Macaca fascicularis: one gene and its partner. The protein of the gene in region 1 purifies or fractionates together with the protein of each later gene. This does not show direct contact. Links are inferred from orthologs where the notes say so. Each region holds a gene or a part of one and is shown in the gene's direction. Other genes may lie near its edges.

The links.
Region 2: the proteins of SMC2 (region 1) and NCAPG2 purify together in Homo sapiens (affinity purification with western blotting; 4 studies listed by BioGRID and IntAct, with this or other methods). This does not show direct contact. The link is inferred for Macaca fascicularis from reciprocal best matches to the Homo sapiens genes SMC2 and NCAPG2.

The regions. Positions count from the first base shown.
Region 1 is NC_088389.1:54,029,379-54,033,681, reverse strand, and holds the start of SMC2 (structural maintenance of chromosomes protein 2), read left to right. Parts: upstream 1-1,501; 5' UTR 1,502-1,742; intron 1,743-1,770; exon of another isoform or gene 1,771-1,947; intron 1,948-2,745; 5' UTR 2,746-2,806; coding exon 2,807-2,974; intron 2,975-3,570; coding exon 3,571-3,720; intron 3,721-4,303. UniProt on the Homo sapiens protein: Central component of the condensin complex, a complex required for conversion of interphase chromatin into mitotic-like condense chromosomes.
Region 2 is NC_088377.1:199,917,471-199,920,986, reverse strand, and holds part of NCAPG2 (condensin-2 complex subunit G2), read left to right. Parts: intron 1-496; coding exon 497-613; intron 614-693; coding exon 694-834; intron 835-1,262; coding exon 1,263-1,362; intron 1,363-3,478; coding exon 3,479-3,516. UniProt on the Homo sapiens protein: Regulatory subunit of the condensin-2 complex, a complex which establishes mitotic chromosome architecture and is involved in physical rigidity of the chromatid axis.

The DNA.
Region 1 (4,303 bases):
CAATTGAATAGCTGTGGAGCCTAGGGGATGCAGGATTCAAGGCAGACAAAGATATCTGCTGAAGTAAATTAATGTTAGGTCACTACCCATGGTTGACATCACAGAAGTGGGTAAGCATATCAGAGTAAATAAATGAATCCTTTCTTAAACAAAAAACCCATAAAACTTATTTTACTCCCTTAACGAGAAATATTTTCAAAATTTAGGCCCATTCCTGGTAGATTAAGACCAGTTCAGACGACTGCATTGCCATTCCAGGGCCAAGAAAGCAACTTTAAAAACACGCCCTATGCTATGGTCTAAATATGTCCCTCAAACTTCACATTTTGAAATCCTAACCCCCAAACTGATGGTTTTGGCAAGTGGCCTCTTGGGAAGTGAGGAATGGGAAGAAAGGAAAGGCCCTTATAAGATAGGCCCAAGGGAGGGCCTCTGCCTCTCCACCATGTGAGGACAGGGTCAGAAGGTGCTATCCACTGAACAGAAAGCACTCCTTCCTAGACACACCTTGTTCTGTGACATTCCAGCCTTCAGAAATGTGAAGAATAAACCTCTGTGGTTCATAAGCTACCCAGTCTATGGTATTTTGTTATGGAAGCCCAAAAGGATCAAGCCATCCCAAAATGGCATTGTCCACACCATGTTTTTGTACCTCACCTAGAAAAACACCATACCCATTCGGAGTTAAATCCTTCCTAACTCTTTAGTATCAACGTGCTTGGAAACGTAAGTAATGCTGACACCTTTTTTCTTTCTAAAGAACAATACATACCAATTAACAGGATCGGTGAATAGTACTAGATTCTATGCATGGAGCCTAGTATGTATTTAAAAGCATGCAATCTGGAACTAGACTGGAAACAAATCCCAGCTTACTAGACAAACTGCTTAACCTTTTACTTGGACTCATTCAACTCATTTGTAAAACGAGGGCAATTTCTGATTTCACAGGGTTGCTACGAGGATTTTAAAAAGCCCCTTGGAACATAGCCTAACACTCAGAACTCAATAAATATGAACTGTCTTAAAAGGTTTCCAGAAAAAATCCCTGACAGGTTAGGTAGGCTTATCATTACAACGCTTTCCAGTGTAAGGGAGGTGAACAGCTATTTAGCACCACACAACTCCTCTGGGCTCAGAACAGCTCTCAGTAGACTACGATCCCTTCCCGACGTGAAAATTTCAGATAAAAACGCTCGGCGAAGTCCGAAGGCAGCACGGGACCGAGCCAGGACGCGGGCCAGAGTCCTCCGAAGGACTGTGCCTCTCCGACCCCACCGAAATACAGCTTTTACTTTGCAGCAATCTGAGCCAACCCAAGAAGATTCAGAGGCTTCCAAAACAGAACCGACAAGAACACTCAAAGAATGCCTCTACACCTCCTGATTCTGTCGCTTTGCGTGAAGAGTAGTAAGCCGCGGTGAGCACCGCCCAGAACTCGAGAAGGCGGAGTCTGCTGGGCGCCGAACGCTGACTAGAGGACCCGAGGAGGGGCGGGGCTGACGAAGCGCGAGGACCTGGGGACGAGGTGTGGGGCTGACCATAGCGTGCCGGACGCCGGTGTGAACATATACTACCTGCTCTTGTAGTGCCCAGGCCCGCGCCTGGGAGTCCCCGGAGCTGCCATTATCGAGACTCTGCGTCCTATTGCCCTGAAGCGTTAATCCTTCGCGTGTAGGGGAAAAATGGAATCCTAAAGACAGGCAGCTCCTAGGCACCAGCACAGGAAATAAGCAATGGAGGTGGGGTCCTTTGCTCGCGCCGAAATTCAAAGGAATAAATAGTTCCGGCGCGGGTGTTGAGAGCGGTGCGGCAGGTGTTGTATCCGCTATGGTGAAGTTCTCTTCGTAGCAGCCGCGGCTAGAGAGTTGGCCTGCTCCCCGCCTTTGTGACCCGGAGGAGCTTTTGGGGTGCGTCAAGCCCTGGCCTGAGGCAGCGGTGAGGCGTGTGCGTGAGCACGGCCGGTTGAGCCCGGCCAGACATCCTGGCGGGAGGCGGGACGCGGGAGCTATGGGGAGGAGGACCTTAGGTGATCCTTAGAAATAAAGGCTAGTTCCTATTCGGCCTTGGAGTAGGGCGAAGAGGTGTAGACAGGCCTCAAGAAGCGAAGTAACAGCCTGAGTAAAAGCAAGACGGTGGAGAATATGAGATACATCTCATCCCTAGTAAATACTTAGATGACTTCCCCTCCTCCCGGAGTCAAGCACAATTCGGGGATGCAATGATGAACGTAGGTGAAGATACTACAGGAACTTACAGACAAGTAATGACCGTCTAATACCAGTTTTAAGTACCATGAAGGAAAAAGCCGAGTGAAGAAGTGTGGAGAGGTGACACAGGGAGGTCAGGGAGGACTCCAGTAGGGTGACACATTTGAGCAAAGACGTGAGTGCAGTAGAGAGTAAGCTATGTCAGTATCAGAAAAAAGCACATTGTGGGCAAAGATAATGGGGTATGAAATAATCCGTAGTCTTTATTAGCTAGAGTATGATGAAAGTAGAAGGCAAGCCTGGAAAAACAGGTGTAAGAAATAGTTAAGACTTCCCAGTTGAATGGTTTAATTTCCAGATAGTGGCTAACTCTGTTATATTTTTGAGTAGATGAACGATGTCTTTACATCAGACAAGATAGTTTGTCAAGTGGCTGTTTTATTTCTATTACCCTATCATTACCGTTTTTGCCTAGTGTTCATTATGATTCCAGGTTTACATTCCACTTAGGTGGTGGTATTTCTGTTTCGTACAGAACTGGTTTGTGGCCTGTTTGATTCCTGTCAGAGGTTTGCTGACCCAAGACAGTATCGAAAATGCATATTAAGTCAATTATTCTAGAGGGATTCAAGTCCTATGCTCAGAGAACCGAAGTCAATGGTTTTGACCCCCTCTTCAATGCTATCACTGGCTTAAATGGTAGTGGAAAATCAAACATATTGGACTCCATCTGCTTTTTGCTGGGCATCTCCAACCTGTCTCAGGTAAAGTGTAAACTTTCTGATTTATTTGAATATAAGTGGGCAGGAGAATCCTCCCTGAACTTTGGAGACTTAACAATATTCTCTTCATTTGTGTTTTTATACTTTTTGTAAATTACACCTCACTGTCACCTTTTAAGGAAACTATTATTACTCCTTTAGATGAGAAAATAGAAACATAGAGATGTTTATGTTGGAGATGTTTATAAGTAACAATGCCTCAAAACTCAGGCTTTCTGACTGTAAAGTAGTCTCATTCCAGAGTATTTTCAACCCTGTGTAATGATGCCTTTTCAAATCCTGCTAATAGATTGAATGACTAGTGAAAATCATTGGGACTGTCTTTCCTTATATCTTGCCAAGTAACTTTTTGTTAAAAAATGAATAGGAAACAATTCAATTCAGAGTTGAAAAGGTTCTATAGAGAAGAGTGTCCATTTCAGGTTGTTACCTATTTTCCTTGCCAGAGTATGCAGCTGCCTATCCTTGTCTGCTTAGTGGACACTATGTTGGTGGGTTTTCCAACAGCAAGGAATTCATTTTTAGTGCTGCTTTGTAGGGAGTTTTGTAATTGATACACTTTTCTTCTTTTATTTTAGGTTCGAGCTTCTAATTTACAAGATTTAGTTTACAAAAATGGGCAGGCTGGTATTACCAAAGCCTCTGTGTCAATCACATTTGATAATTCTGACAAAAAGCAAAGTCCTTTAGGATTTGAGGTTCATGATGAAATCACAGTAACAAGGCAGGTGAGTGGCTATTAAACATTTCGATATCTTAAGACCTTTTATGTCTGATGTGGTTTTTGGCCCTATGCCTTTGCAAAACGTGCTAGAGAAAGTTGATGAGCAAAATTTGTGCCTTAAATTCTGACTAGATTCCTTAATATCTTCCTTACATTAAAATTTTGATCATGTACACTCTATCACTAAGAGAACTGAAAGAGAACTGAAAAGTTATTCATCCGGTATAAGCACTCAGCTATGCTGAAATCTTAAACCATACTTGAATCTTCTCTGGTTGTTCTTGAACACCTGTGTACTTGAGATCTTGCAGTCTTCTGAGATAACCCATTCTGTTTTTGGACAGGTCTTACTAGAAAGTTACCCCTATAAATTTTGTCAGAGTCTGCTGTCTTCAAATTTTATTCATTAATCCTAGTCCTCTTGAGAGCACTAAGAGCAAATCTGACTTATTCCCTACTTCAGTGTTCAAGTGATCTGCAAGCATATGTGTTTTAGTTCTAAGTGAAATCTTACCAGGTCTTTCATTGATGTTTGTTCCTAGTTCCTTCACTTGCCTGATTATACCAGGTATGCTCCAGTTTCCCTC
Region 2 (3,516 bases), on another chromosome or scaffold:
CTTTCATGTGGACACTCAGTCCCTGCAGTCCTTGGCAGTTTTTTCTGGGAATGTTTGGAGAACATTTTTTGGGAACCCATCATGTTCCCAGCTGTCCCACGGAGGCCGTCATCTCTTCCTCTCCTCCAGAAGCCAGCCCTCTGAACACCCTGTTACATTGCCCTCAAGTGTGACTGTACCAGAAGCAAAGCCTCAGCAGAGCAGAGCCAGGCAGATGGGGAGGACGGGCCTGGTCACGAGGCAGGGAGGGGACGGGTGGTGCTGTGTGCAGGGCAGGGGCTGTGGACGGTGAGCTGAGCCCGCTCACCTGGCTGTACATTTTCCTACGCCACCCAGCACCTCACGTCCAGGCACAGAGTCCTCGGAGACTGGGCTTCTCCAGAGCGGGGGTCTTTCCAGCTCGCCTGAGATCAGGTGCTTCCCATTGTTCTTGCTGTCTGGGGTGTGGTGATGCCTTGTCAGTCAGCATGTGACCCTTGGGTTTTTTCTGTTGCAGGCAGATTTGGAGTCACTTCTGCAGACACCGGGTGGGAAGCCTCGTGGCTTCGGTGAAGCGGCTGCCCTGCGAGCCTTTGGCCTCCACTGTCGGCTGAGCATCCATCTTCAACACAAGGTGCGCCTGTTCCTGGCCCTCTGCTAGGATGAGATGCAGCGATCTTTTTGTTACTGATTTATCTTCTTGTTTTTGGACAGTTCTGCTCAGAAGGAAAAGTGTATTTGTCCATTTTGGAAGACACTGGCTTTTGGTTAGAAAGCAAAATTTTATCTTTTATTCAAGATCAAGAAGAAGACTATCTGAAGCTTCATAGGGTCATTTATCAGCAAATTATCCAGGTTAGAGGTCTGAAGACACAGAAACCTTTCTCTTTACCAAGTTTGTTATGTTTCAGTGTTTCATTTTCTACTTTAGAGTGGTGATTTTAGACATGAGTGTTATTCTTAAAAACTTACAGTAACATTTATCTAGCTTTCTAGAGTTTATCTTTTCGCAAAGCATAAACTTCATACTTCTAGTGTAATTTTACACATTACATGTAACAGCTGTTCAGTTATGTTTGTGGAATTACATAAAATATGTCTCTAGATTTATTATGAAAACAGCAAGAATTAATGTATCTTTATGAAAATTCCTTTATAAAACATCTTTGTAAAAATCTGCTTTGTAAGATAACTAGCACATGGATAGGAGAAGCTTTGTGAGGCTGGATTTACTCCCTTTTTTTAAATGGCCTTTGTTGCTAAGTTGTGTCTGTCTCTTACAGACCTACCTGACTGTGTGTAAAGATGTTGTTATGGTAGGCCTTGGTGACCATCAGTTTCAGATGCAACTTTTACAGCGGAGTCTTGGAATCATGCAAACAGGTACAGTCAGGGCTGTTTTAGAGCAATAAATACTCAGAACCAGTCCTTCCCTCCCTCCCTCCTTTACTGTGTTAACTCAGAACTCTCACTTTTAAGTGACTGATTATAATGCAACCTAGTATATACCAAAAAAGGGATTTTTTTGGGTGATGCAGCCAGGAAATTCAAAGGTGTTTCTGGGTCAGATATAACTGCATCCAGAGTTTGTGACAGGGTCCTTGGGATTCTGCCTCTCCTTGTGGTCAGCTTCGTTGCCAGGCCGACTTTCCCTGTGGATTGGGCTAGTGGCTATTTCCTGGCATCTGTGTGGGAAACCATCACCTTTTGGCTCTGCTCTGGCCATGTGCTCCGTGGGTGGGGGGGTGAGTCAGGAATTGTTAAGTGGTACCCCACCAGGACCCCTGAAAGTTGCTGTTACCCCAAGGAAAGGATTAGCACAGGGTAACCCATGGCAACAGTGAGTGAGAGGACAGCCTTCGAGTCACATCAGATGATGACGGGAAAGGGTGTGGGGCCAACCCAGGGGGAGTGTACCTGGGGCCATTCCATATCTCCTTGGCCTTCTGATCACAGTCTGGTAAAGAAGAGTACTGCTGAGCTGGGATCCTGGTCCCTGGCCCCTGACCCCTAGCCCCTAGCTCTTAGCCCCTACTACTTAACCCCTACTCCTTAACCCCTAACGGCCAGCCTCCCACCCCACTGCTTCTGTGGTGTAGCCGACTGCTGTGTAAACCTGTTTCTGGATGGTTTTTAAGTGAGTATCCCAATATCCCAGTGTTGCATTTGATTCTTACTGAGATCTGTAAAAGCCTCAACATTTGATGTAGACATTTCTTTAAGCCTAGTTATTTTGCTAGAAGAGATTGAAAATGATAACATTTAGTAAATTCAACATTAAGTTTTGAGAATTAGATTAAGTTGGTAGTCCAATTTCTAGTGGATCCATCTGTAGTCTCTTTCCCATAGCCTTAAATATCTTCATGGCAGATTCTAGAGGGGTCTGTGTGTGTGGATCCCCCCAGTGTATCTCTCTTTATGACGTTACAACTGAAAGTAGATGCTAGGAGAACACTGGAGCCAGGGTACTGGGCAGTGTCTTAGTTAATCTTTAATTATAAGCAAAATCATCCATCATTTGTTTAACAGCTCCAAAGCTTAATAGTAAATATCAAATAGACCAATATTATTTGCTTTAGCTTTTTTGTTTAATGTTTTTTTTTTTTTCAAGACCAAGTCTTGCTCTGTCGCCCAGGCTACAGTGGAGTGCACTGGCGTGACCTCGGCTCACTGCAACCTCCACCTCTAGGTTCAAGCAATTCTCATGCCTCAGCCTCCCGAGTAGCTCGGATTGCAGGCACCCACCACCGCGGCCAACTAATTTTTGTATTTTTAGTAGAGGTGAGGTTTCACCATCTTGGCCAGGCTTGTCTCAAACTCCCGACCTCAAGTGATCCGCCCACCTTGGCCTTTCAAAGTGCTGGGATTACAGACGTGAGCCACCATACCCAGCCTGTTTAATTCTTTATAATTCACTTCTATTGTGAAAACAGCATTTTATACTTAAGCTTAATGATTGAAACAGTCAAAATTATTTATTTTTTAAACTTCACTTATCATTTAGGAATTACTTTCCCATGAGGACCGAATCTACTTTTATTATTTATAAAATTTACTTTTTGGAGGAACTAATTATACATAGAATTCTAGATCTCCAGTGTAGCCAGTTTCATTATATAGGTATATCTGTTCTCTAAAAATAGAACAGAACGAACAACTGTTCTCTAATTCCGGTATTGAAGGAGCCACACTGCTGAACTTCTGTGTGTTCACGTGTGCAAGGAACACAATTTTTAGTTTAGTGACTAAGTCTAATAACTATTACTGTTACTGAAGGTATCAGTTTTATAAATTGGACAAATGTCATACTTACTTATTTATTTTGATTAGAATTTAGGTTAACCTGATCAGCCTGGCTTTTGGTATTGGCTCACCAAATACCAAAGTGTAATAATCTCTTTTTTGTTATCATTGTATACATGTGTTAAGTGAGAAATGTGTAATGATTTCAACAAACTTGTGTGATTAGAAAACTGATATATTCCAATTTTCTTTCTAGTGAAGGGATTTTTTTATGTTTCATTACTTCTTGACATT